7 linked regions of the Macaca mulatta genome follow. The protein of the gene in region 6 interacts with the protein of the main gene of each other region in a pairwise test. Links are inferred from orthologs where the notes say so. Each region holds a gene or a part of one and is shown on either strand. Other genes may lie near its edges.

What was found.
Region 1: the proteins of RINT1 (region 6) and C19H19orf25 interact in binary tests that used the Homo sapiens proteins (3 or more experiments, as listed by UniProt). The link is inferred for Macaca mulatta from reciprocal best matches to the Homo sapiens genes RINT1 and C19orf25.
Region 2: the proteins of RINT1 (region 6) and CCDC121 interact in binary tests that used the Homo sapiens proteins (3 or more experiments, as listed by UniProt). The two-hybrid records come from large-scale screens. The link is inferred for Macaca mulatta from reciprocal best matches to the Homo sapiens genes RINT1 and CCDC121.
Region 3: the proteins of RINT1 (region 6) and SFR1 interact in binary tests that used the Homo sapiens proteins (3 or more experiments, as listed by UniProt). The two-hybrid records come from large-scale screens. The link is inferred for Macaca mulatta from reciprocal best matches to the Homo sapiens genes RINT1 and SFR1.
Region 4: the proteins of RINT1 (region 6) and RIBC1 interact in binary tests that used the Homo sapiens proteins (3 or more experiments, as listed by UniProt). The two-hybrid records come from large-scale screens. The link is inferred for Macaca mulatta from reciprocal best matches to the Homo sapiens genes RINT1 and RIBC1.
Region 5: the proteins of RINT1 (region 6) and FAM81B interact in binary tests that used the Homo sapiens proteins (3 or more experiments, as listed by UniProt). The two-hybrid records come from large-scale screens. The link is inferred for Macaca mulatta from reciprocal best matches to the Homo sapiens genes RINT1 and FAM81B.
Region 7: the proteins of RINT1 (region 6) and SH2D4A interact in binary tests that used the Homo sapiens proteins (3 or more experiments, as listed by UniProt). The two-hybrid records come from large-scale screens. The link is inferred for Macaca mulatta from reciprocal best matches to the Homo sapiens genes RINT1 and SH2D4A.

What each region holds. Positions count from the first base shown.
Region 1 is NC_133424.1:2,255,788-2,260,189, forward strand, and holds the start of C19H19orf25 (UPF0449 protein C19orf25 homolog), read right to left. Parts: upstream 2,908-4,402; 5' UTR 2,894-2,907; intron 1-2,893. Other genes in the region: RNA-binding protein MEX3D, read right to left, coding at 3,880-4,402.
Region 2 is NC_133418.1:97,366,213-97,370,426, reverse strand, and holds the start of CCDC121 (coiled-coil domain-containing protein 121), read right to left. Parts: upstream 2,828-4,214; 5' UTR 2,570-2,827; coding exon 2,202-2,569; coding exon of another isoform or gene 2,192-2,201; exon of another isoform or gene 2,060-2,191; intron 2,014-2,059; coding exon of another isoform or gene 1,994-2,013; exon of another isoform or gene 1,979-1,993; intron 1,736-1,978; coding exon 781-1,735; 3' UTR 1-780. Other genes in the region: GPN1 (GPN-loop GTPase 1), read left to right, coding at 2,865-2,975, 3,678-3,771.
Region 3 is NC_133414.1:116,280,764-116,285,064, reverse strand, and holds the start of SFR1 (swi5-dependent recombination DNA repair protein 1 homolog), read right to left. Parts: upstream 2,967-4,301; 5' UTR 2,907-2,966; coding exon 2,894-2,906; exon of another isoform or gene 2,809-2,893; intron 2,143-2,808; coding exon 2,021-2,142; intron 1,414-2,020; coding exon 1,003-1,413; intron 1-1,002. UniProt on the Homo sapiens protein: Component of the SWI5-SFR1 complex, a complex required for double-strand break repair via homologous recombination. Acts as a transcriptional modulator for ESR1.
Region 4 is NC_133426.1:53,269,104-53,273,569, reverse strand, and holds the start of RIBC1 (RIB43A-like with coiled-coils protein 1), read right to left. Parts: upstream 3,006-4,466; 5' UTR 2,974-3,005; intron 2,775-2,973; coding exon of another isoform or gene 2,666-2,774; 5' UTR 2,609-2,665; exon of another isoform or gene 2,565-2,608; intron 2,401-2,564; exon of another isoform or gene 2,392-2,400; 5' UTR 2,262-2,391; exon of another isoform or gene 2,128-2,261; intron 1,953-2,127; 5' UTR 1,864-1,952; intron 1,706-1,863; 5' UTR 1,615-1,705; intron 1-1,614. Other genes in the region: SMC1A (structural maintenance of chromosomes protein 1A), read left to right, coding at 2,666-2,774.
Region 5 is NC_133411.1:101,822,458-101,824,830, reverse strand, and holds the end of FAM81B (protein FAM81B), read right to left. Parts: intron 871-2,373; coding exon 737-870; 3' UTR 601-736; downstream 1-600.
Region 6 is NC_133408.1:145,161,574-145,165,281, reverse strand, and holds part of RINT1 (RAD50-interacting protein 1), read right to left. Parts: intron 920-3,708; coding exon 705-919; intron 1-704. UniProt on the Homo sapiens protein: Involved in regulation of membrane traffic between the Golgi and the endoplasmic reticulum (ER); the function is proposed to depend on its association in the NRZ complex which is believed to play a role in SNARE assembly at the ER.
Region 7 is NC_133413.1:20,975,954-20,979,661, reverse strand, and holds part of SH2D4A (SH2 domain-containing protein 4A), read right to left. Parts: intron 2,694-3,708; coding exon 2,522-2,693; intron 1-2,521. UniProt on the Homo sapiens protein: Inhibits estrogen-induced cell proliferation by competing with PLCG for binding to ESR1, blocking the effect of estrogen on PLCG and repressing estrogen-induced proliferation. May play a role in T-cell development and function.

The sequences.
Region 1 (4,402 bases), on a different chromosome or scaffold from region 6:
CCTTTGCTGGCCAGCTGGAGGGAGACGCCTGTGCTCTTGGATCTCCACTTTGCCTGTCTCCCAAACAGGGCTGCCTCCCCCCACCCACAGCCCTCCAGCTTTGGAAGCTGAAATTTTCTTTGCTGACCCACCAGAGAAACTAGGGTTTGAATCCCAGCCCGTGATTTTTTTGTTTTGGAGACAGGGTCTCGCTCTGTTGCCTAGACTGGAGTGCGGTGGCGAGATCATAGCTCACTGCAGCCTCGGCCTCCCAGGCTCAAGTAATCCTTCCGCCTCAGTCTCCCGAGTAGCTGGAGTCGCAGGAGTGTGCCACCATGCCTAATTTTTGTATTTTTTTTTGTAGAGACAGGGTTTTGCCGTGTTGGCCGGGCTGTTCTCAATTCCTACGCTAGAGGGATCCTCCTGCCTCAGCCTCTCAAAGTGCTGCTGTCCCCTCAGTTTTTACCTACCCTTTACCTCCTGCAGCCTCTGCCTCCCCATCTATGACCTGGGAGCTGCAGGACCTTCCCTGGGGAACATTATGGGCCTCAGTGAGATGGGGCAGGTCAAGTCTGGCACAGGCTCAGCACACAGTAGGCACTCAATAAAGATCTAGCCAATAGCTGGGTGCAGAGGCTCACGCCTGTAATCCCAGCACTTCGGGAGGCCAAGGCAGGCGGATCACCTGAGGTCAGGAGTTTGAGGCCAGCCTGACCAACACGGCGAAATCCCTTCTCTACCGAAAATACAAAAATCAGCTGGGGGACAGGCGCGGTGGCTCACGCCTGTAATCCCAGCACTTTGGGAGGCCGAGACGGGCGGATCACCTGAGGTCAGGAGTTCAAGACCAGCCTGGCCAACATGGCGAAACCTCATCTCTACTGAAAATACAAAAACCAGCTGGGCGTGGTGGCACGTGCCTGAAATCCCAGCTACTAGTGGGGCTGAGGCAGGAGGATGGCTTCAACCTGGAAGGTGGAGGTTGCAGTGAACTGGGATCACACCACTGCACTCCAGCCTGGGCAACAGAGCGAGGCTCTGTCTCAAAAAAAAAAAAAAGTCTAGCAAACAAATGAATTGGAGCCTCCAGCAGATGGGTGGGAGCTCAGAAGGTGTGAATGACCACAGTCTGCCCAGAAAGCACTCAGATCCCTGTAGGATCGAGAGAACTGAGCCTCAGAGAACAGCACATGGCTACCGGGCAGAGGGCTGGTGCCAGGCCTGTGTGACTCTGGTCTAGGTGGGGAGGCCGGACAGGTGCACCCCTCCTGTCCTCCAGGGAAGGGGTAGCCTTGGAGGTTGGGTTTGACAGAAAAGCATGAGAAGCTCAGAGAGCCCCAGGGTAGAGAAGAAGGTGAGCGAAGGGGCAGGGCTGGGACACAAAGGACACTGAAAGGTGTGCTTGACAACGGGGTGGGTGGGAAAAGCTGGGAGCCACAGATGGTTCTACAGTGTGGAAGATGTAAGGCCTGTTTCAACCTGTCATGGCAGTCACAGTAACATCCCTGGCAACCTGCACTCCACTTACAGGGTGGCTGCTGTGTGTGACCTGGAGCTGGAATTAAAACCAGCAACTTGGGTCCAGGCATGGTAGCTCACACCTGTAGCAGCCCCAGCACTCTGGGTAACTGAGGTGGGAGGGTCGGTTGAGGTCAGGAGTTCAAGACCAGCCTGGCCAAGAGAACGAGACTCTGTCTCTACAAAAAAAATTTTTAAATAAAAACTAATAAATAAATAAGCCGGGGCGTGGTGGCTCAGGCCTGTAATCCCAGCACTTTGGGGGGCAGAGGCTGGCGGATCACTTGAGGTCAGGAGTTCGAGATCCCGTCTCTACTAAAAATACAAAAATCAGCTGGGCGTGGTGGCAGTCACCTGTAATCCCAGCTACTCAGGAGGCTGAGGCAGGAGAATAGGTTGAAACCAGAAGGCGGAGTTTGCAGTGAGCCCAGATCGCGTCACTGCACTCCAGCCTGGGAGAAAGAGCAAAACTCCGTCTCATAAATAAATATATAAAACCAGCATCTTGCCCCAGAATCCTCTATCCCAATGGAGGTGAGACGTCTGCACATCACAGAGAGGGGGCTGTCACCTGCACAGGGTCACGGGCCACTGTGGCCTGCCGGGCAAGCAATCAGGGCCCACTCTCCCGCCACCCCCACTGTGCCCCAGGGCCTGCCTTGCTGACCGCCACCAGCAAGAGCCCAGTAAGTGGGTGCAGAACGCACAGGCCAGAAGTGGGTGGCTAAGCCTGGTGCCCATGGACTCCATCTCCCGTGGACCTGCCCCTAGAGAATTCCCACCCTAGGGCCACAGGTCTAGAAGCTCTCAGCCTGACCCTGACTCCTGTTAGCTCCCCATGTGGTCACAGCCTCGCTCAAAGGCCCTTCGGGTGCCAGGACACGCGAGTTCACATAGAACACAGCCACACCCTCCACCACCTGGTGGCTCAGCCTGCTGCCTTTGGACACTTGGTCCCCGGGCCTCGGCTTGGACGTCTGTCCCCGACACTCTGCACAGGGCAGCTGTCCTGTTCTAAGCCCTGGTTATGGGACATGGAGGCAGGTGGAAGGCCTCAATGGGGAGGCCGTAACAGGATGGTAGGGCACCCTCCTGCTGGGGAGTCCCACTGAGGGCAGCCAGAGCACCCAGTCCCTCCGCATCGCCATTCCAGAGCATGCCTCCTGGGCCAGCACCACGCCTGGCCCTCCATGGGTCCCCACATGAGCTGGACAAATGACTGACCAAAACACAAGAGGCCATGCTGCCCCACCCACCAGGACGGAGGGAAGGGGCGGAGGGGAGGGCACCCTGGTGGTCCCCCGCCTGCGGCCAGGGCCATAGATGACCTTGCAATCCCAGCCCCCCACACCTTTCTCTGGCCTGGGTTCCTGAGGGCCCTGGGGGAGGCAGGGACCCCCAGCCCAAGTGTCCTGCCGCCCCACCTAGCCCCGCCAAGGCCCCACCCCAAGTTCTAGAACCTGGCTGATCACTGGCGGTCAGCGGGGAGCCAGGAGTGGGTAGGGGTGGCGGGAAGGCAGGAGAAAGTTGAGGGAGGCGGGCGGGCGGGTGGCTAATGGGGTGGTGGGTGTGAGCTGGGCCAGGCACTGCCCACCACCCGCCCGCCCGCCCCGCAGCTCGGGGGCCAATGAGCAGCGGCCGGCCTGATGTCACCCTGCAAATCTCAGCCTAGCTCTCTAACAAAGAGAACAATGGGGCGGCCAGAGGGAAGCTCCGACGATGCCACCGCTGGACCCCACACTCGGGGCCTGCCGCCCGCTGGCCTGCCCAGCAGGCTGCACCCCAGAAGTGGCTTTGACAGCCGGTCCTTCCCAGGCCCCCAAATCCCTGACTCGGGGCCGGAGAGTGGAGCAGGGACCCTCTCCTGCCAGGTCCCGTCCCCACCCCAGTCAGGGCCCCAGGCTGGGGACCCAGACGTGCGCTCTTTGTACTGTCAGCCTTCTCTCCCGGCCCTGCAGGCGGCCCCCCTAAGCCACCCCTAAACCTGCGCTTGCCCCGCCCCGCCGCCTGTGCTGGGTGTGGGGTGCCCCCCGCCCGACCGGAGCCCCGGGCCCTCGCGCTCCTCTCCGGGGTGCCCCTGCGGGTGGCCAAGGGCCTGGGCTGCGGCGCGGCTCCCGGGAGCCTTTCCGGGCTGGAGGCTGCCCAGACAAAGGCGGCGGCGGGGCCGGAGCGAGCAGGGGAGGAGCGCGGGCTGCGCCCAACTTTCTCCCGCGGCCGCTGCAGGACAAAGGCGCAAAGGCAGTGGCCGAGGCCGGAGCCCACGCGGGGCGTGTCCGGTGCGGGGCGTCCGGCGCGGGCTAGGCTGGGCTCGGGAGACCCCCTTCCACGGGGCGGGCGGTGCGGGGACCCCCAGGACAGCAACCCCCGACGAGGGCCACTCACCCTGGCGGCCCACGATCTCGGCGACGTGCTCGGAGCTGGGCACCGGGACGCACTCGGTCATGTTGACGCTCTTCTTGCGGCTGCCGATCACGCTCATCTGCTCGGCCAGCAGCGTCGGGGGGCCCAGGGCCGCGGGGTGGGGCGCGAAGCCCGCGAACACGTCGGGGGGTGACGGCCGGGGCGGCGGGGGGCTCGCGTTGGGGTCCAGCAGCGGCAGCGACCCGGGGGCCACGGCCACGGCGGGGGCCAGGGTCGCGGGCGCGCCGGCCTCGGGCCCGTCGGGGGTCACAGGCTCCGGAGCCGACCCGCCGTCCGCGCCCCCCGCCGCCGCTGCGCCGTCCCCGGCCGCCCCCTCCTCGTCCGTGTCGCCCGCGGCCCCCAGCCCGAGCGCCGACAGCTGGTCCAGCGCCAGGCGGAGCGCGGCGGCCGCGTCGTCGGGTTCGGGCGGCGGCCGAGGAGCGGGCGCGGCCTCCTGGGCGCCCTCGGGCGGGGGCGCAGGTCCGGGTCCGGGGTCCTCCCCCGC
Region 2 (4,214 bases), on a different chromosome or scaffold from region 6:
CCAAATATTTCAACTTTTTTTGGATACATTTTCCTGAAATAAGGGGAGGCATTCAGTCACCTCCATGCTACATGTGTTTCTTCAAAGAAAACATTTTCAAATGTAAGAGCTGACCTAATAGATGTCTCCTTCGTCTTCTCTTACCTTCTCAATTTACTTAAAGCTAAACTTGTAGGGGCTTCACATCAGATGAAAGGTCACTCTGCCTAGCACTTACTGGACTTGCTGTTATCAGAATGCTTTTTCGCTCATGAGAAAACTAGGAGCTACCTGGTCACTGGCACAAACTTACAAAAATCTTATAAAAACTGCTTTTGTCTGCTAAGTCGGTCAAAAGGAATGAGGATAAACTGATACTGGTTATTTACTGAGCAGAACGCTATTCAGTCTATTTGGAATGCTATCCTTAAAGGTACTTTTTCTCTATAAAGAAATCTAGTTAGATGAAATAAATCACAACTGTTTTCACTTCCTCGGGTTGGTTTCCTTTAGCTAGTTTGATGTATGGTAAATGGCTAGGTTAGGGTCATGTGTTAGGTTAACTAGAGGTTTGTGGAATATCTTATTAACAAGAGTATTTCAAGAAAAAACTAGTTAAGGGAAGCTGGTTACCAAATATCTAGTAGGACTGTTGGATAAAACCATCTAATCCTCCACTCTAACACTCATGATGGAGATGTTACAATAACAATCTGGAATCCAAAAGCCTTCCTAACCAGGTTAATATAGCACTTAAGAGTACTTGCTCCAGTTATCTAATCAGTGTTATTTTAGGAGGAGTTACTTTGGATTAATCCTTGATTTGGTGCCTTGGGGAAGACTGGGTGTGGTCTTTGGAACATCCTGTCTATTTAGGCACTGATTATGACTTCCTTGCAATCTCTGCCTCCCCCGGATTAAGGACTCCAGATACCACTGTTCCTGCTGCAGCTGCTGCTTCCTGTTTTCTAAGTGGCTTTGAGTAGCCGTTAGTTTCTGGGCTTGCTCAATTAGCTGCAGTAATTCCTTCTTGAACTGCTGGTTCTCTCTTTTGAGGCCACAGGAGTATTCAAAAATAGACCGCTCTGCTGCCAACTTCAAGGCCTGGGCTTTCTTATTAAGCTCTCTTCTTTTTCTCTTTCCCAGTAGCCTCCTGTCTGGCTCGCTCAGTTGTTTCTCCAGTAATCTTTTCTCCTGGAGGAGCTGGGCCTGTACTTCACGTGTCTTTGCAGCTGTCTCAGCTTGGACTTTCTTTTTCTCCTCCTGTAATGTCTGTATTTCTTTCTCCTGCTTTTCCTTTAATATAGCAATGTCCCTCATTGCCTGCAACTTCCGCTTCAAACTGGATTGGATATTTTCCTTTTGCAAGAGCGCTGTTTTAAGCACTGAAATTTGTTCTGCATATCTGGAGGCTGATTCTTGTCTTCTTCGTTCAATCTCTCCACTTTGTTGTAAATAGCTGTTCCATACCTTCTCAGGTTGCTTTGTGTACTCTTCAGTTTTGTTAGTCAGGTATTCCAGAAAGAACCTGTTTTCAGCCTGGACAAGTAACTTTTCTTGGTATAGCTCCCTGTATTCCTCCAGTAGCTGTTCCCGCTGGATTTGAGCTTGTTTTATATGCTTGTTCAGAACCGTCATTTCCGCCACTATCTTTTCTTTAAGGATTGTCTCCACCTTTGTTAGCTTCTCTGGCTTGACAAAATTATTTATTAGCCTATGATACGGTGGAAGGAGCCTTCTGGGGCCCTCAGCAAACCTGAAAGAACAAATGAGACATTCCTCTCTCAGTTGATGAAACTTTAGGAAGTGCACAACTGTCCTTTATTTATACCAGAGAATATTTCTGAGTACCCAGAATGTTCCAGACATTATGCAAGGTGAGGGGAATCCAGCTAGTGGTAAAAGATGACGGATTTAGCTCATCATTTACAACGTGCGTTCACCACAACCCTGGGAGGTACTATCTCAGTTTTAAAAAGAGAAAACAGGTTCAGAGAGTTTAAGTGAATTGCCCATGACTCACACCACTAGCAAGTGGCAGAGCCTGGGTATGAAAGCCAGATCTTATGACTTACTGAACACTGTTAGCAGCTACAAAGGGCCACAGAAACAGACTGGGTGGTTGCGAGTAGAAATACTTTTCTAAGCTCTTTCATCATCTTTCCTGAGTTTCTGAGAGCCCTTCAGTGAGAAGGAAGCTCCCCTCCAGTACCTATTCGCACCTGGAATCCAAGCATTCATCCTGAAGGTCACGGCAACTGCGTAGTTCACCGAGGGTGATTACCAAGGAATGAGCGCTAGCATCAGGAACCTGCGCCTGCAACTCGCGGGAACAACGTGCAAGTGCGGAAAACTCCCGTAGTTTATCCGTTCGGTGCTCAAAGGGTCTCGGTGCTGCCCAGCAACCCTGGAGGCTGCACCCTGCTCCAGTCCTGGCTGGTCCAGCCCTGAACTGTTTAACCGCCTCGGCTACCGAATAAACCCGAGCAGCCGGTCCTCCAGTGGCTCCGCTCCCCGCTCTCTGCGGGCTCGAAATGAGAGGCATGCGCCTCGTTTTCTTGCTGTGTGAGTCCTGCCCTCGGGACCCCATCTCTTCTCGCCTTCCCCCTGGGGCCAAAAGCCCTCCCAGGCTGCAGAGATCAGAGCCCTTTCCTAGCTCCCTTCAGCCTTCCTCTCGCTTGCTCAGCGCCCCCACTTCCTCGCCACTGTCACTAGTTGGCTCACCAGCCCTGCCCGATACTAAGAAGATGCCCTGGCAACTACCGCGCCCCTTCACGCTCCTTTCTGACGCTTTGGTTCTGTTTTCGTTCGCTGCCCAGAACATCGCGGAAGTTTCTCTAGCCATGCGGTGTCTCTATGGTCAGGTGGGCGGGGCCAGGAGGAAGATGGCGGCTCCCGCAGCTGCAGCTGAGCCCCAGGCTTCTGGGGGTCCGCGGCACCCAGTGTGTCTGTTGGTGTTGGGAATGGCGGGATCCGGGAAAACCACCTTTGTACAGGTGACGTACACAGCGTGGGTGTAGTAGGGGAGCGCAAAAGGTTGCCTCCGACAGGCGGAAGGCCAGGGAGAAAGGGAGGGAGGTCTCCGAGGATTTGGAGGGTATCGGCGCATGGGTTTCGGTCGTTTCCCATCAACTTTAGTTCCTTCCCCGGCAAAGCCTCCTCGGGCCCTAGCCAGGTTAATTAAGGCTGTCTTCTGTGCACCTTCAGTGCATACTCGGTCAGCTTACCACGTTGTACAGGAATTGTCTTGCTGATAAAATTGCCAGTTTCTCGAAGGCAGGGGCTTACAAGTAACTTTAGAGATTAATACAGTGCTAGCACACAGGTTTTGGTGAAGATTTGCCGAAGAATTATTTCTTGCACGCCTGTCATGTACCATTCACTGGGGATATAGCGAAAATTAGGTTGACAAGATTCATTCATGGGGCTAAATATTTAATGGAGGAGATAGAGAAAACCCACATACGAAGAATCAAAACAAGTAAACAAGTGACTATGAGTAGGGGAAGTTTTGTTAGATGGGTGATGAAGAAAGGTAGCATTTGAACTGAGAGTTGTATCTTGGTGGTGGATATAGTGGGTGGATATTTCAGGTAAAAGAAAATCTAAGTGCAAAACTCTTAAGGCATGGGTGGTAAAGGAAGTTCTCTCTTGTCCCCTCTTTGTCTCCTTCCAACCTTCTCCCCATATCTCTGCAGAGGCTCACAGGACACCTGCATGCCCAAGGCACTCCACCTTATGTGATCAACCTGGATCCAGCAGTACATGAAGTTCCCTTTCCTGCCAATATTGGTGAGTAAACCGGTAACATAACTTGTGTGAAGTGCTTTAAAGAGAATGGAAAAGGCCGGGCGCAGTGGCTCACCCCTGTAATCCCAGCACTTTGGGAGGTCGAGGCAGGTAGATGAAGAGGTCAGGAGTTCAAGACCAGCCTGGGCAAGATGGTGAAACCCCATCTCTACTAAAAATACAAAAAATTAGCCAGGCGCGGTGGCAGATGCCTGTAATTCCCGCTACTCGGGAGGCTGAGGCAGGAGAATTGCTTGAATCCGGGTGGCAGAGGTTGTAGTGAGCTAAGATAGCACCACTGCACTCCAGCCTAGGCAATAGAGTCAGACTCTCCAGCCTGCCAGTCTTCAGTGCCTTCTTTTTTGATGTTTTCTAAACTATCTACTTTCATTTCCTTTGGATTTGCTTGAGTTCCTAAACAGCTTAGGCTTTTTTTGTTGTTGTTG
Region 3 (4,301 bases), on a different chromosome or scaffold from region 6:
TTTTTAGGCTAGGCATGGTGGCTCACACCTGTGATCCCAGTACTTTGGAAGGCCAAGGTGGGAAGACTGCTTGAGCCTAGGAGTTCAAGACTAGACTGTGCAAAATAACAAGACTATCTCTACAAAAAAATAATTTAAAAAAATTAGCCAGGTGTGATGGCACATGCCTGTAGTCCCAGTTACTAGGGAGGCTGAGGTGGGAGGATCACTTGAGCCCAGGAGTTCAAGGCTGCAATAAGTTAGGACTGTACCACTGTACTCCAGGCTGGGTAACAGAGACCATGTCTCTAAAAAGAGAATGAATAAATAAAATACACTTTTTACTCCTAAATTTTAAAATACATTCAATACTCCTAAATTTTATTTTTAAAAAACCCTAAAATTTCACGAGAACAAATGAGATATGCTATCTCATCATTTATTCCACATAGTTGGGGGAAAATGAGCTATTGCATATATATGAATTTTCCAGGTAATAAAGGTTATCTCCTTCCATGTACTCAAGTTCTATTTAATTCAACCTATATGAGTTGAAATCTAAAATCTAATATATATTTGTTTTTTTCTCAAATAATATGGCTGAATCACATTAATTATTTGGGGGAGACACAAGATCATAAATAAAATACCTTTTATTGTACTCTACAGCCCATTTTTAGTTTTACTAATTGACTGTCAGCTTTCACTTCTGTTCCCGTCGTACTTGCATCTAACATTTAATACTTCTAATATTGCTGTGGGCTAGAAACTAGAAAGAAAAGTTTAACTGCATATTAAATAAGAGCTGAGATTCTTAAAAAGTTTTACCTGGTGTTTAAGGGCCTTTTCTACTCTAAATCTGGAGTTGAATTAAAGTTGTTGGAAGCCAGGTTTCTGAATATTTGGCTTATTGCTTATTATGATAAAAAAACAAACACACACCTTATTTTCTATTTTTGAAATTACTTTCCTGCAATTTATGTAAAAATAAAAATGATACAATGGTCCCGAAATTCTTCTCACCTTTGATCTATACATTTTGACTAGTTTTAGCCTCCGAAGAAGGTCTTCTTTCTCCTGAACCTGCTTCACCAATTTGGCTTTTTCATCGTTTAATCTTTGTTTAGGAAGATTCTCATTCATGAACTCATTTTGGAGAGCACTGCATGATCCAGAATGAAGTGACTGAGATTCACAGACACTGAGATTCTTCAAAGTATTTTTCAAATTTGTATTTTCTTCAAATTCACTATCTATGTGTTTAAAACTTTCTTGAAATTCCAAACAGTTTTCCTCTGTGGAAGATGCTGGTTTGTCTGAAAAGGTCTGATCATTTTCTTCACTCTCTACTTTAAGACGTTTCACCACATTGTAACAGGAATTAAATGAAGATCTTGTTTTCCTTAATCTTTCTCTAAGTGTTGCACTCATAGGCTATAAAGAGCATAAAACATTAAAAATGTGAATCAAGAAAAACATTCTTGATGTCAATAAATCACCAGAAATAAAGGCCTTACATTTCTGTGCTAGACACCACTAGATGGCTTTCTGTCTCCACATCTAAAGAAGGCATCACAAAATGTCTTTAATTTCTGGAAGCTCCATTTGTTCTATTTCCTTTTTACTTCAGCAAGATCAACACCTTTCTAAAAGTGTTGAAAGGTTTATCCCAGTAATCAAGGAACATTTGTTCAGTAACAAGCACATGCCTGACGGTACTCCAGGTGCTTCAGAATTACAGAGTAAGGAAAAGACCTAGACCCTGCCACTAAAGACCTTCACAATATTGCACAGATTCTAACTTTCTCCATTAATCTGAAACTAACTGAAATGAATTGATTCAAGAGGAAAATATGGAAAGGGGCTGGTGGGTGTCATATATGTGACCTTAGAAGAAAAACATAAAATTGTTTAATAAAATGTCTACTTATTTATGCTACACATTATGTTAATTAACAACCTTCAGTAGAATTTAAACCACCACTGCCACAATACTTAGAAACACACAATGGATCCACTGGAAGGACAAAGATTTTCATACTTGTTTTCGTGAACTATTTGTATAGGGAGATGATGGATTCGCAGAGGCCTGAGGAGTGCTAGGTAAAACCACAGCTGAGTCTGACGAACTTTCCATCTTGAAAGTGAAATCTTGGTTTTTCTCTAAAAAAGAAAAATTATTAAATGAGAATCAAATTAGCCACACCTCTCCATAGTCGATTTTTATCAAAGAATATATTTTATTGGTGTACAAAGCATCCACAAGTAAGCCAGATATTTCTTCTAATTTCACTTTGTAATTCATTATTGCTCTTTTTGCAGTTTTCCATTTACCTTCCCACAAAGGGACCACTAAGATTTTCATGACACATCAACCAGCTAGTATCTCATAGTCACAACTCTCCTTGTTTTCTTTTCATCCACCAAAATATATTCAAATTCTGCCTTGGAAGAAGGGAATAACAGCTTTAATCAGGAATTCTTTATGATGACAGCTTCATAATTCAAGAAGATATAGCCGAAACTTTGACTCAAAAACAATAGGACCTGAATGTCACCCATCCTGAACTCTACAAGCTGTGACTAGAACCCGTTACCCTGCCGGCCCGAGGCATAAGAAACACAGCGGAGATGCATTTACGCCCTTTTAGTTTAAGCAGCGAATAGGCACTGAAAAGGAGAGTGGACTGAAATTGCTTTCTCCGACAAAGGCATCAACTTTTGAGAGGCAAACCAGGGGCGGGAGTAGTCCCCTCCTTCCCCCCATTGCAGAAAGCCCACTAGATCCCCGAAGACCCCATGGATGAGGTGAGGTTGAGTTCCCCAGACCCGGAAAAGGAGCTCAACTCGACTCCACAGCACACTCCCGGGGAAGCCCAGGTCTCAGGTAACCCCCTTCCCCTCAGCTGAGTACCTCCCTCCGCCATTCCCAGCGAGAGCAAAAAGCGCGCGCAGCTGCGGCCGTAAATCGATCCTGTGGCAGGGGCGGGGCCGTGCGGCTGGCGTAGAAGACGCGCAATTGGCCAGACTGACTAACGCGCGAGACGCCGCTTCACTCAGCGACTCAGAGCGGCGGGACTGCGCGCGCGCCTCCGCCAGCCGGCGGTTGGGGCGGGGCTTGGCCACACGATAGGCGGCCTAAACGCGTGATTGGCAGAATTAACCGGTGCGCGCGGCTCTCCCTGCCCAGCGCCCGAGGGCAGCGGGAGTGCGCGCGCGCGGCTGTGATCCGCAGCAGGTCTTCGGGGCGGGGGAAGCTGAGCTTTGGAACGACCAACCGATCCTGAGGGGGGCGCGCTTCCGTTGGCGGCTTCTCTTGTCTTATTTTCAACCGCCTTCCCTTCAGGCTTCCTTGTTTTTGTGCGTCTGTGAAGTGCGCCTGAAAGTGCCTCCCCCTGCCTCCGCCAGCCCGCCGCCTCCATTCTCTGGCTCCAGTCAGTCTCCTCTCCCCGCTCGTCACAGAAAAGGCTTTCCTCAGATGTGGCGCGGCCAGAAGCCGCACGGCTGGCTGCATGTTAGATTTACAGCTTGTGGACTCCCCAGAGGCAGAGACCACAAGAACAGCGTTGGGTTCCAGCCTGTTGAGAATGAAACATGTTAGAAATCTATCCGAGAGTCCTGGCACTTTAGCTGAGCTCATCGCTAGCTTTTTTGGCTGCCGCAAACTCGGCGGTCCCGTCGCTAGGTTTTTTTTTTTTTTTTTTTTGTAAACAACCGTTTCTGTACCTCAGTATTCAGGCTTCTTAGCGTGACCTCAAATCTTTTACTCAAATCTGAGGGAAAATGTAGCCCAAGGAAGTTTGTTGTGGCGCAACACAGGAAACAGAACAATCATTACATGAGATTGTGTCGGTGCAAAATTCAGATGTTTGAGACCGATAGGGCCTTTGCCGGCCACCGGGCAGCAGCATCCCCAGTCGAGAAAATCCACCCCCCCGACCCCCCGCCACGCTTCCAGTGTGGCGAGGTTCTGTTGCTACGCGACGACAAAGTTAGCTACACTGGGTGGAGCACTGGGTTTAGGGAAAGAGTTGTGTAACTTCTGAGTCGCGTGGAAGTTGGGAATTTCCAGGGGCTAGTGTTTTCAGTCCTCTTATTGAATGGCCGTTTTAAACATTGATATCGTCTCTTTACTATTAATAACATCTGACAGTAATGGCTTAGAAGTGGCCAGAAGGGAGTTACCTGAGCCTTAAGCAGTCAGGTATAATAATTACAGAACCTGAGGACTACTTAAGGGAATGATTAGGGGCACAGACGTTAGAGTCAAATTGTCTAGGTTCAAATCCTGGCACCCTACTTTATGTTGTGCCTCAGTTTCT
Region 4 (4,466 bases), on a different chromosome or scaffold from region 6:
AACTCCTGACCCGCCCGCCTTGGCCTCCCAAAGTGCTGGGATTATAGGCATGAGCCACCACGCCCAGCCTTATTTAATTTTTTATTTTTTAGGCAGAGTCTCGCTCTGTCGCCCAGGCTGGAGTGCAATGGTGTGATCTCCGCTCACTGCAAGCTCCACCTCCCAGGTTCACACCATTCTCCTGCCTCAGCCTCCCGAGTAGCTGGGACTACAGGCGCCCGCCACTACGCCCGGCTAATTTTTTGTATTTTTAGTAGAGACGGGGTTTCACCATGTTAGCCAGGATAATCTCGGTCTCCTGACATCGTGATCTGCCCGCCTCGGCCTCCCAAAGTGCTGGGATTACAGGCGTGAGCCACCGTGCCAGGTCCCATTTAATTTTTTTTAATATAGATGGGGTCTCACTATATTGCCCAAGCTATTCTTGAACTCAAGAAATTCTCCTGCCTCGACCTCCCAAAGTGCTGGTATTACAGGCATGAGCCACTGTGCCCGGCCTCATTTAGGTTTTTAATCCACTTGGAATAGCATTTTGTGTATGGTGTGAGATAAGAATCCAATTTAATTTTCCCAAGTGCCATCTCATCTTTTTTTAATTTAAAAATGTATTTTATTTTTGGCCGGGCACGGTGGCTCACGCCTCAGCACTTTGGGAGGCCAAGGCAGGTGGATCATGAGGTCAGGAGTTCAAGACCAGCCTGGCCAACATGGTGAAACCCTGTCTATACTAAAAATACAAAAAAATTAGCTGGCGTGGTGGCAGGCGCCTGCAATCTTAGCTACCTGGGAGGTTGAGGCAGAGAATAAAATGTATTTTATTTTGGTTTTAGATGGGGTCTCTCTCTGTTGCCCAGGATGGAGTGTAGTGGTGCAATCATGGCTCACTGCAGCCTCGAACTCCTGGGCTCAAAGGATCTTCCTGCCCCAGCCTCCTGAGTAGCTGGACTACAGGTGTGTGCCACCATGCCTGGCTAATTTTTAAAATTTTTTTGTAGAGATGGGGTTTTGCTATGTTACCCAGGGCTCACCATCTCATCTTTTAAAAGGGAACAGTATTTCCCCATGGATTACATGAGATTGCTTTCCTTTAGCCATTTTATCCCCTCAGCCTGATTGTTTCTCCCAACTGAACTTCATTTATGGCTCCCCTACTAGATTCCATCTACCAAGCTTCCTCCCTTTATTTATTTTTGAGACAGGGTATTGCTCTGTCACCTAGGCTGGAGTGAAGTGGTGCAGACACCACTCACTACAGCCTCAGCCTTCCAGGCTCAAGTGATCCTCCTGCTTCGGCCTTCTGGGTAGACCACAGGTGAGAGCTGCCACACCCAGCTAATTTTTAAATTTTTAGTAGAGATAGGGTCTCACTATGTTGCCCAGGCTGGTCTTGAACTGCTGGTCTCAAGTGATCCTCCTGCCTTGGCCTGCCTCCCTCACGATGGGATTACAGGTGTCAGCCACCATACCCAGCCACTTCCTCACTTTCTTGGACTTGTCCTAAGTCTTTAGGACTCTTTCTAGCCTTCGGACATAATTTAATAAATAGTTAAAGGAATAATTATGGCAACCACCAGATCCTTTCCGTGTTTAAGTCTGAGAATGGCACCAACTTACCTACTGTTTCCACCTGCCACCACAGTATAAGGTCACTGAAGGGGAAGATTCAGCAGACATTTTAAGCTTCTTGGATTGCTAAGGCCCCTGCCTTATTAATGATAGAGAGCAGAGAGGGAAGAGAGGTAAGGTGGCATCGTGGTATAGAGCTGTGGGAATGGGATGGGGGAGAGGCATGGAGGGAGAGGTAGGTGGAGGTGGAGAGCACCGGCTTAGGGACCCTGACTCCTGGGGGTTCACACAAAATACCTTTCTCAGTAAGGAATCCCGATTTTGAAGCTCTTAGGTTGGCTCTGCATGCAACTTTGTTCTTGGGTTACGGCGGCAGTTTCTGAACTCTGCTTGGTAGAACAGGAGGGAGGTAGCGGATAGGGGTAGTATCTCAGGCCGTAGCCTTCCCCAGCCTGTATCCCTGTTGCCTGGGAATAGCCCCAGCCCCATTCACACCCCATCCGCCTTGGCATCCCGTCCCGCCTCCAATCCCACCCCACCATTAGCAAAGTCTGAGCTCACCTAACACTGAATCCTCCCGTTGGCCCCTCCTTCTCGTCCAGCCCTCCGCTCCCCCCGGGTCCTTCCAATTCCCGCCCCTGTCCTTGTCCTAGCCGTGAAGGCTGGCCAGGCTAAAGCCACAGCCGAGCTCCCACCTTCCTCTTGCCCTGAGGGGCATAATCCTGCTGTGACTTCTGTCTCAGCAAGCGTGAGCTCAGGTCTCCCCCGCCTCCTTGAACCTCAAGAGCTGCTCTGACTCCGCCCAGCACCAACTCCTCCGAGGACCTGGTCCACAGGAGCAAGTGTTTGTTGTTGCCATGCAACAAGAAAGGGGGGCGGAGGCACCACGCCAGTCGTCAGCTCGCTCCTCGTATACGCAACATCAATCCCCGCCCCTGGTCCCACTCCTGCCGGAAGCCGAAAATCCCGTTAGGCCTGGAGGTATTCTCGCGACATTTGCCGGCCGCCCGGCTTGCACTGCGGCGTTTCCCGCGCGGGCTACCTCGGTTCCCGGGCGTACGGCGCGGCCTGTCCTACCGCCGCCGGCGCCGCGGCCGTCATGGGGTTCCTGAAACTGATTGAGATCGAGAACTTTAAGTCGTACAAGGGTCGACAGATTATCGGACCATTTCAGAGGTTCACCGCCATCATTGGACCCAATGGCTCTGGTGAGATAAACCTGGCTGCGGCCCTGCGCACGTCCCGGCCTGGACCCCTTATCCGGTTCCGGAGTAGTACAACCCAGCCCATGTAACCTGAAACGTCGCGGACCCTTACGGGTTCCTTGCCCCTCCAGAGGGGGTTCTGCTCGAACCCACTCTCCCCACGCGGCTGCTCTAACTCGAACCCCTTCCAGGTGTCACTTGCCTCTTCCTGCGCGGCCCCCGCCCCGGCCGAGTGGTACGGGCCGAGCTGCCAGTTACCCCGCCTACTTCCCCCTCCCGCCAAAGTAGGCGCGTCTGGAGCCAGCTTCCCGCCAGCTGCCAGTCCCCCGCCTCGCGGCTCCCCGCCGCGCCGCCCGGAGCCGGCTTCCCAGACTTATTTGACCCCCTCCGCAAAATGTGGGGACGCTGGTAGCTCTCCCGTAGCCTTCGGTCCCAAACGGTGCACTTCTGTTTCAGCCCAGCGTCTCCTCTCGCCTCGCATTGGTACACTCCAACTCTTTCCTTTCTACTCTTCTCCGGAGGCGGCAGTTTTGTATTTCAGACCCAGCCTTCCAGACTTTAGAGTGCTTGAGGTCTCGATCCCCACCCCCAACCGCTATGTCAGAGGTAGTTGCCTCGAACTCGCCCCTTTCCTACCACCGAAACCGTCAAAAGCCGAAATTGATTTACCAAATTTGTTGAATGCTTATTGTTTATCAGGAGTTATTCCATTGCAAGTTGTGGAAACGGCGGAGGATAGAATAAACCAACTCCATGCTCATAGGGAACTTATATTCCAGAGGGGAAAGAAGATAAGGAGAAAATAAGATGGTTTTAGGCTGTCATAAGTGCTATACAGGAAATGAGACCGGTGGATGTGATAAAGTGACTTGGGTGGTGTCTTTAGAAAGGGTGGTCAGGTAAAGCCTCTATTTTATATCTTAACTTCCCAACTCTAAACGATATACCGTGGATTCCTCTCACCTCAGATGTGGTTCATTTGGAATCCTGCTGTATTCTTCCACCCCAGAGATGTTCTAACTGAATCATATCCTAGCCTAAGAGGCTGCCCTTGCTGAAGTAGCACATACGGAGTGCCTTTCCTGGAGACCGAGTGTCTCAACAATGGCACTATTGACGTTTCCAGCGAGATAATCCTTTGCTGTGGGATGTGCCCTGTGCATTCATTGTAGGATGTTTAACATCATCCTTGGCGTCTACCTGCTAGATGACAGTAGCACCCCTACTCCCCAGGCATGACAATCAAAACTGTCTCCAGACATTGCCAGATGTCACAGGGGGTGGGTGTGACTCCTCCAAACACCCAACTTGTTGTGAGAACCACTGGCCTGGAGGGCTAATGCGTGGTGTCCACCCGGTTTCCTAGGGTTTTAGTGTAGTGGCCCCTGTTGAAAGAGCTAGGATGTACCTCTTGGCATTCAGTCCCCTCAGCATTAGTAGATTTGTATTCCCAGCTGTTCTGAAAAGGGCCATGGCACTCCCCCACTTGCCCTCGTTCTTCAAGGCCCACCTCTACAAGCCATTCTTTTAGTCCCTTTGGTGAATTACTCTTCCTCTGTGGCATACTGTAGACACTTGGTACACATTAATGTTTATTAAGTCTTATATTGATGGTGCATGTTTTTGTATCTTCATTGGCCTGTGAGTACCCTAAAGCAGACATTCCTTGAAACATACTGGTGTTCAGTCCATAAT
Region 5 (2,373 bases), on a different chromosome or scaffold from region 6:
CATGGAAGCTGTTGTATTCTCTTATTTTGCATGGTTTGGCTCTTAATTGCTTATAATTCTGATACATAATGAGCACAAGGGAAATATATTTTAAATATGCATAAGTTAAACTTGCCACAAACATTGAGATTAGAAGTTGCAAACTGACCACTAGGTCATATCTGCTCCACAGGCATCTCACATAGTTTGAGAACTATTTTGAACTAGTTGCTAAAGCTTAAAAATAGAGGGATTTCTCTTGAAAAATGGAATTTTGGATAATAATGGATTTATATATATATATATATATATATATATATGTTAGTCATGAACTGTCACTACATAGTAGCTATTATTTTTAGACAGAGTACGTGCTCTCCAACTTGACAGAGCTCCTGTCATTCTTTAATGTATTACAACTGGCCTACTTCACTCATATACCTTATGTAGATTCCTTTTTCGTTATTTGTAGATTTATATATATATACACACACACATATATACACACATATACATATCTATCTATCTATCTATCGAGAGAGAGAGAGGCAGATATATAAGGAAATTTCTTAGTTTTTTCATTAATAAATGCAAGACATCCAAAGCTTCTGTGCTTTATTATTTTTCTGGTACATTCATCTCCTTAAAAGGAGACATTAGAAGCAGTAAACATCCCAGAGATAGTAACTTTCTTCTTCAGAACTTTTCCCAACAAATCACTCCATTGGCTGGTGAAAAAGAAGATGACTGAAAAGGTTTATACTTCCTGGAGTTCCACTATCTTACGCTGTAATTTCTTCAGGTCTTTCTGTACTTTACATTTCTCTAAATCCATCTTTGTTTTCTGTATTTGCTGGAGAGAGCTGAGAGAGTCATGAATTGATTTAAATCCTGTAAGAGGGTAAAAGAATAGGTACACTTAAACAATGCATTAGAACTTTTTTTTAAAAAGTTGCTAATTGGCAGTCCTACCATAATTGATTATCATTTAATTCAAAGGGCATTAAATTCTATTAAGACCAGCCAAAAATTGTACATAATCTGTTTCTTGTATGTCATGAAGATTCATTCACAATAGTGTTTCAACTTATATCTGGTTATCTGGTTTCATTGTGAAATTAATTATTTTTCTCCTCCTCTCCGCAAATACATTGCATAATTCTATATTGCAAGAGAGAAATTTAAAATATTTTATTCTTTCCGTATGCTTTGACAAGAGATTTGTGTGATTTTTTTTTCAGTCTTGTTACCAAATTGAAGGTAAAGATCCCAGAGGAGATTTTAAAACTTCTCTGCAAGTAGCCCATTTGAGGGACCTCAGAGCAGCCCCCTGCTGCCCTCCTCCCTCCTGGCACTTTGTATATCTCTTACATCTAGTCACTCATGACCACAGACCTATCAAACCTCAAGGTCTTAGGGCACAACCCATTTGTTATTCACTGGGGCCTTTCACATAGTCGTTTCTCAACACATTTTTATTAAAGGCATAAAGCAGCAAACCGTTAATTTGAAGTTCCCACTTTCTAGAACTCCTCCTTGTTAGTAAAATGAAAGAACTTGCAGATGGTAAATTCCTTTTCAGTTCACTAATGGAATGAAGTTTTACTAATGGAATAAGTACAATTAAACCTCTGATAGTTAAACAGAAAGCAGGGCCTTTAAAAGAAGGGCCAGTTAAGTTTGGGACATGATTCCTGGCCAGATAATTCATTATTTTGATATGACGGTGGGAGGGGTATATTGTGAGGGTTGAACTTCCAGGCAGCAAATTCTACTTATATGCCAGGAACATCTGGCAGATTGAGAACATCATGTCCTCCCAAGGCACCTCCAACGTATCTCTCTACAGGACCAAATTTGGTAGAATTTACACATGAATTTTTCTGAGATCTAGAATAAAAAAGAAAAAAAATTACTTGGGACTTTCTCTAGTAAAGAAATTCTTCTGAGCCCTGGTAATTCTCTCAGAATTATGACTCAAGGCAGATGGCTGCTCCACAGCACCTATCCCATGTCCTTCCCTTTGACAAATTAGAAGAGCCTTTCAAATTAATCCTCTTTGATGTTAGCTCAGCTTGACACTGCTGCCATTAGCTTCTTTAAAAGAAAAGCAGTCATTATACTGGACTCTACTAATTCATCCCTCTTTCTCACTTCTAAAGGTCAGGTCTCCAGTCTGACATCTGTCCAAGCTCATTACTTGTAGTTGAATGAGAAGGGCATTTGATTTAGGCTCTTAATTTCATAACATACCCACAAGTCACGTCTTGGGTATCTCCAAGGATTTTCCAAGTCTGACAATTCCGTGATTCTATGATCTTAGTTAAAAAAAAAAAATCTGGCCGGGCGCGGTGGCTCAAGCCTGTAATCCCAGCACTTTGGGAGGCCGAGACG
Region 6 (3,708 bases):
TGGCACTCTGTGTGGCAGGGACTACACTAGGACAAAAAGATACTGCTTGCTATCAAGGATGAAAGTAACACAGGTGTTCACAGTGAATGGTAGTGGGATAAACCACAACAAAAGTATGCAGAGTACCACAGGTGACTTTACTTTGCAAAATGGGAGACAGGTTAGGCTATTCAACCCCATATCACACACTATCCTATTAATATATTTACAAACAGCTAAATTATAACCAGTTTATTCTGATTAAGAATGTCAGCGAGCCAGGTGTGATGGCTCACACCTGTAATCCTAGCACATTGGGAGGCCGAGGCAGTGGATTGCCTGAGGTCAGGAGCTGGAGATCAGCCTGCCAAAATGTGAAACCAGGTCTCCACTAAAACTACAAAAATTAGCCGGGTGTGGTGGTGCATGCCTGTAGTCCCAGCTACTTGGGAGGCTGAGGTGGGAAGATCACTTGACCTCTAAGGTGGAGGCTGCAATGAGCCGAGATCATGCAACTGCACTCCAGCCTGGGTGACAGAGTAGGACTGTCTTGAAAAAAAAAAAAAATGTCCAAGAACATATTTTAGAAAGATTTCCAACAATGAAGTTTAAAGTACATAAGGCCAAACCAGGTTCTATCTAGATACCTTGGAAATCTGACCACATATACCATCTTCAACTTTTACCAAACTGGTATTAAGAGCTGACTTACATAGAGGACATACCTTTCTTTTTTATACAATTTTGCAGCATCTTTAACTTCTCTAAAAACATGGTCTACTTGACGGGTCAACATATCATGCTTTAAACGCTCTAAGAGGTTAATCATGTCATCAAAGACGGAGCTCTCCATAGAGGCTAGCTGTCCCAGCTGCAATTTACTCAGAGTATTATTCTCTGCAAACACCTCCAGTGCAGCCTGTTGAAGTTGTAGAAAGAACTGAAAGCAAAAACATGTTAACACATTAACATACTTTTTTTTTTTAAACAGCTTGAAAGAGAATTCATATATCATACAATTCACCCATTTAAAGTGTATAATTCAGCTGGGCACGGTGGCTCACGCCTGTAATCCCAGTACTTTGGGAGGCCGAGGTGGGTGGATCACCTGAGGTCAGGAGTTCGAAACCAGCCTGGCCAACATTCCAACATTGTGACACCCCATCTACTAAAAATACAAAAATTAGCTGGGCATAGTGGCATGTGCCTGTAATCCTAGCTACTCAGGAGGCTGAATTGCGTGAACCTGGAGGGCAGAGGTTGCAGTGAGCTGAGATCATGCCTCGGCTAACTGCAACCTCCACCTCTACCTCCTGGGTTCAAGCAATTCTCCTGCCTCAGCCTCCTGAGTACCTGGGATTACAGGTGTGTACCATGATGCCCGGCTAATTTTTTTTTTTTTGTAGTTTTCGTAGAGATGGTGTTTCACCATATTGGTCAGACTGGTCTCAAACTCCTGACCTCATGATCTGCCCACCTCAGCCTCCCAAAGTGCTGGGATTACAGGCATAAGCCACCACGCTCGGCAGTACAAGTTTTTATGTGGACATATGTTTCATTTCTCTTGGTATGTACTGAAGAGTGGAATTGCTGGATCTTATGGTAAGTCTATGTGTTAACAGTTTGAAAGGCTGCACATGGTACCTCATGCCTGTAGTGCCAGCACTTTACGAGGCTAAGGCCAGAGAATCATTTTATAGTGAGACCTTATCTCTAGAAAAAAAATATTAGCTGAGTGTGGTAGCCACAGACCTGTAGTCCCCGCTACTCAAGAGGCTGAGATGGGAAGATTGCTGGAGTCCAGGAGGCAGAGCTTGCAGTGAGCCGAGATTGGGCCACTGCACTGTAGCCTGGGCGAAAGAACAAGATCTCATCTCAGAAAACAAAAAGACAGTTTGGGCCGGGCGCGGTGGCTCAAGCCTGTAATCCCAGCACTTTGGGAGGCCGAGACGGGCGGATCACGAGGTCAGGAGATCGAGACCATCCTGGCTGACACGGTGAAACCCCGTCTCTACTAAAAAAAATACAAAAACTTAGCCGGGCGAGGTGGCAGGCGCCTGTAGTCCCAGCTACTCGGGAGGCTGAGGCAGGAGAATGGCGTAAATCCGGGAGGCGGAGCTTGCAGTGAGCTGAGATCCGGCCAGTGCACTCCAGCCTGGGCGACAGAGCGAGACTCCGTCTCAAAAAAAAAAAAAAAAAAGACAGTTTGAGGAACTGTCATACTGTTTTCCACAGCAACTGTACTATGTTACATTCCCACTAGTCAATGTTAAACTGTTTTGAAATGGAACAATCTCAAGACATATTAACCAGAAAAAGCAGAAGAGTCTGCATAGTATGTTACCACATGTTGACATACACACACCAGTATTTATATAAACAGCTTTAGTAATACGTATAAGAAATTGATCAAAGTGATTGGCTTTAGAGAAGATTAGAATTAAGACTTATTTTCACTATATATAGTTTCAATATATACAGTTTTGTGGCTTTTGAATTTCGTATCACATGGATTACATATAGTGAAAAATATTTTTCTCTTTCAACTTCTGTGTATGGTAATCACGAACTTAACAAAAAAAAATGACACTATCAGCCGGGCGTGGTGGCTCATGCCTGTAATCTCAGCACTCTGGGAGGCCGGACAGGTGGATCACCTGAGGTCAGGAGTTCGAGACCAGTCTGGCCAACATAGTGAAACCCCATCTCTACTAAAAATACAAAAATTACCTGGGCATGGTGGCGGGCGCCTATAATCCCAGCTACTCAGGAGGCTGAGACAGGAGAATTGCTTGAACCTAGGAGGCAGAGGTTGCAGTGAGCCAAGATCGTGCCACTGTACTCTAGCCTGGGCAACAAGAGCAAAACCCTGTCTCAAAAAACAAAAAAAAATGAAACTATCTACTTGTTTTTTTATTTTTTGAGATGGAGTCTCGCTCTGTCCCTCAGGCTGGAGTGCAATGGCGCGATCTCGGCTCACTGCAACCTCCACCTCCCTGGTTCAAGTGATTCTCCTGCGTTAGTCTCCCGAGTAGCTGGGACTATAGGCGAGTGCCACCACACCTGGCTAATTTTTGTATTTTTAGTAGAGATGGGGATTCACCATGTAGGCCACGCTGATCTCGAACTCCTGACCTCAGGTGATCCGCTCGCTTTGGCTTCCCAAAGTGCTGAAATTACAGGTGTGAGCCACTGTGCCTGGCCTTGTTTTAAATAAAATTAAAAATAATTTTTAAATGACACTATCATTAAGCATTTAAGCATAAAATTAACTATAAAGGTCTGAAATTTTATTTTTCCAAAATACAATTAACAGAGGACTAAATAAATCACCTTGCCAAGGTTATTTTTTTTTAAACTCTGAATAGCATTAGGCCATGAACACAGCATAATAAGCCATATTAAGGTCATCAAACATTTGGCTAGCCTTGATGGCCAGGCACGGTGGCTCATGCCTGTAAACCCAACACTTTGGGAGGCCGGGGAGGCAGATCACTTGAGGTCTGAGGTTTGAGATCAGCCTGACCAACATGGTGAAACCCCATCTCTACTAAAAATACAAAAATTAGTTGGGCATGGTGGCGCACACCTGTAATCCCAGCTACTGGGGAGGCTGAGGCAGGAGAATCACTTGAACCTGGGAGGCAGAAGTTGGAGTGAGCCAAGATCACACCACTGCAATCCAGCCTGGGTGACAGAGTGAGACCCTTTCTCAAAAAAAAACAACAA
Region 7 (3,708 bases), on a different chromosome or scaffold from region 6:
CCCTTCACGTTCCACAGTGACTGTGAGGCCTCCCCAACTAGTCCAGTAAGCCTCTTTCTTTTGTCAACTGCCCAATCTCGGGTACGTCTTTATCAGCAGCGTGAAAACAGACTAGTACACTCTCTCTCACATTTCCCTTGGCTCTCCTCTTATAAGGACACCTGTCGTGGGATTTAGGGTCCACCCTAAATCCAGGGCGATCTCATCTTGATATCCTTTACTTTAATTACATCTGGAAAGATCTATTTCCAAATAAGCTCACATTCTGAGGTTCTAGGTGGACATGAATTTCGGGGGATAAATATGCAGGCCACTATAGTGACATATACAGAACTTACAATAAAAATGTAAATGTACCATCGAGTCAATTGTCTAAGAGGTAGCAGACACCTCTTTAAATGCTCACACTAGCTGTGAAGATCAGCTTCCTCGCTGCGTGGCCCGCTGTCAGAGTGAACTTCAGCAAATATCACAGGAGCCCCTGACAGCATCTTCTCTGACACAGGGAAAGATAAAAAGCAGAAATATAAAAACCTGTCACCCATCTATTTCTGTATTCCTTGTATCTAATTGTTTCTTTCTCCACTGCCCCCATCTCCTTCCATATGACAGTTTAGCAGGCACCTAAGGAATGGAACAGTGCCACTCTCAATATAATATTTATGAGATGGTTAAAGAATAATAACTGTGGTATCTATTTTAATTTCCATTTTAATCTTCTGTCCTACTTTTGAAAAAAAAGATCTAAAAAAGTACTGTAATTCAAGCACAGAGATAAGCATACACACTTAAAACTTTCTTTTTTCTTAAGAGTCAGGGTATCACTCGGTCGCCCAGGCTACAGTACAGTGGTATAATCAGAGCTCACTGCAGCCTCAAATTCCTGGGCTCAATCGATCCTCCTGCCTCAGCCTCCTGAGTTGCTAGGACTACAGGCATGAACCACCATGCTTGGCTATTTTTATTTTATTTTTTGTAGACATGGGGGTCTCACTATCTCTACAGGATTGTGCCCAGGCTTGTCTGAAACTCCTGGCCTCAAAAGGGATCCTCCTGCCTCAGCCTCCAAAAGCACTGAGATTACAAATGTGAGCAACCACACTCAGCTCCATAATTAATACTCTGGAAGGAGCTTTCTTGTTGTTGTTATTGTTCTTGGTTTTATGGGTGTGGGAAAGGGAGCCGTGTTGGGGGAGTCTGGTGTTACGCATGCTGAGTGCAAAGCATGCCTGGGGAGGCATGGAGGCCTCACTGAGGATGTGGGAAGCATGCCCAGGGCTGATCCTGAGAGGAAAAACCAAATTTAGAATTTTTTCTTCTTAAATATTTTGAGCCTCATATTTGTAGCCCTTCATAAAAAGCTTCTTCATAGCCCTCATATTAAAGATACAACCAAATACGAGAGTTAAGAGTTAAGGAGTTAATAGTTAATATTTAAGGAATAGCCTGGGGGTCCTGCAGACCTGGGTTGGAATAAGACCTTGGGCAGGTTGCTCAACCACACCTAGCCTCAGTTTCCCCAGCTGTAAAATGGACAAATGTCTCTAGTTCATGTTATTGTAAGGATCACATGAGACACTCAGCAGTGTGCTTTGCTGTGGAATAACCCCCTGACCGTGTTAGTTATCAGAGTCTCACTAGGCCCTAGAAGGAAGCAGGAGATATCTGTATTCCCATTTGATAGCCTCAAAGAAGTCAAAAGCACACACAACCAGTGCTGCAGGGCTGGAGACACGAATGGAAATCAAACAACTGTAAATCCCTGTTAATTCTCAGTTGTAATTAAATTCCTGGCAGAATAAGGTACTTCATAATATAGTTGTATTGTTCTCCCAAACTATAATCCAACCAGCAAATTATGTTTGAGTTTTTTAAACCACCTGAACCATAAGAGAATTCATACCAATTCTGAGTATAAAATTTCATTATGTTGGGGAAGTAACTGTCCCCACAGTCACAGGCAGAGCCAACGAAGCCAAACGAGCACTGATACTTAGAGTCGGCAACAAAAAGGTGGAGACTCGGTAGAAAGTAATCTATATCGTGAACAGGCCAGATCTGCCCCTCTGCCTGTCCTTGAAAATAAAGTTTTATTGGAACACAGCCATGATCATTCATTTGTGTATAGCTGTGAGAAAGACGGCATGGCCCATAAAGCCTAAACCATTTATTATGTTGCACTTTACAGAAAATGTTTGCCAACCTCTGCTGTAACGGAAGACCTATAATGGGGCAGCAATGGGGAGAACCTGAAAATATCTTAAAATGCCAAGTTGCATTCCTAGCGTTCTCGCCTGGTACTTTCAGTCTCACGAAATAGGGGTGCTTTATTTTTCACGAAGTAGCAGGGAAGGTAAATCCCCCAAGGGACATGAGCAAGAGGACCTTAAAGTTAGGAGGAATTTCTCCCAGCAAAGCCAGTGGAGGATCCTGACACTCGGCCACAGTGGTCTCAGTGGCCTCAGTAGCTTTTTCTCCCCCGTGATGAAATTCCGCACACCTACAGACAGGAAGGACTCACTCGGATTTTCTCGTCCTCCAGGGTTGGGGATGGGCTAGATCCTTGCTCCAATTCCTCCGTCTCTGTCACTGTCTTGCAGATGTCTTTAGGCTGCTGGTTATCTGGAGGCTGCAGATCATGGTACTGTGATTTTGTTTTCAAGCTATTGGTGAATTCTTCAGAGTGAGTTTTTCTGAAGAGAGACAAAAGTAACATTCTCAAAAACCATTCTTCAACAGGAAGAGCTTTTACAAAGCAGATGTTGACATTCAAATTACGTGAGAACCAGTAACAGACACCACTTACTGAGTGCTTCTAACATGCTGGGCCCTGTGCCATCACCTGCCTCAGTTTCCCTCAGTGTAAAGACGTTAACTTCATCCTCATCACAACCCTATGAGGAAGGCATTGTCATCCTCACTTTGTTATAAGAGCTCCAAGAAATTTTGTAATTCACCCAAGACCACATAGTGGTATAGCCAAAATCTGCATCCTGGTCTGCCCAACTCCTGGTTTACAAGTTAACCTATTAGAACATACCATCTCCTTCCAATCGATCATTAAATAATTCCTTTATCTTCATATGTCCATTGATAGTTTTAAAGTTACAGGCACTAGTGGGCAGCATCCCAGCCCTTGAAAGTCCAATGCACCATCCATTGTGCCACAGAGTCGGCTTTGCATCCCTAGCCCTTGGGAACTAAACTGTGGTCCTCATGTCTGTCCCAATTTCCACTTCAGCATCTCAGAGTAATGCTGTCAACATCACTGTGCAGAGCCAGAGAAGGACACCCAGAGCACCCCAGCTACCCAGCAGAGGAGTGCCATCACCTGCCTCAGTTTCCCTCCGAGTTACCTTCCTACATCTGCAGTTGATATCACTTCTCTATTGAAAACCCTCACTGTCCACAGAATAAGGTCCAAACTCCCAAATCTGGCCTCTGAAGCAGTTGCCCAAGGGTATTCCAAATGCTCAGAAGACCTCATCATTCCCCAAAGAACCATTCGTAGTCAAGTCTAGGGGCCTTGGTTAAGCCCTCTGCCTGCACTTTCCTTCTTGGCCTTCTGTAGCTAGAAAACCACTCCTTTCAAGGTTTGGTTCAGATTTTACCTCGTCTGTGGATGGGAATGATAGGTTCCCACCTATGCTTGGTAAACTCTGTTTATACCTTCATTATAGCCAAATCACAGCCTGCACTGCCCGTAGT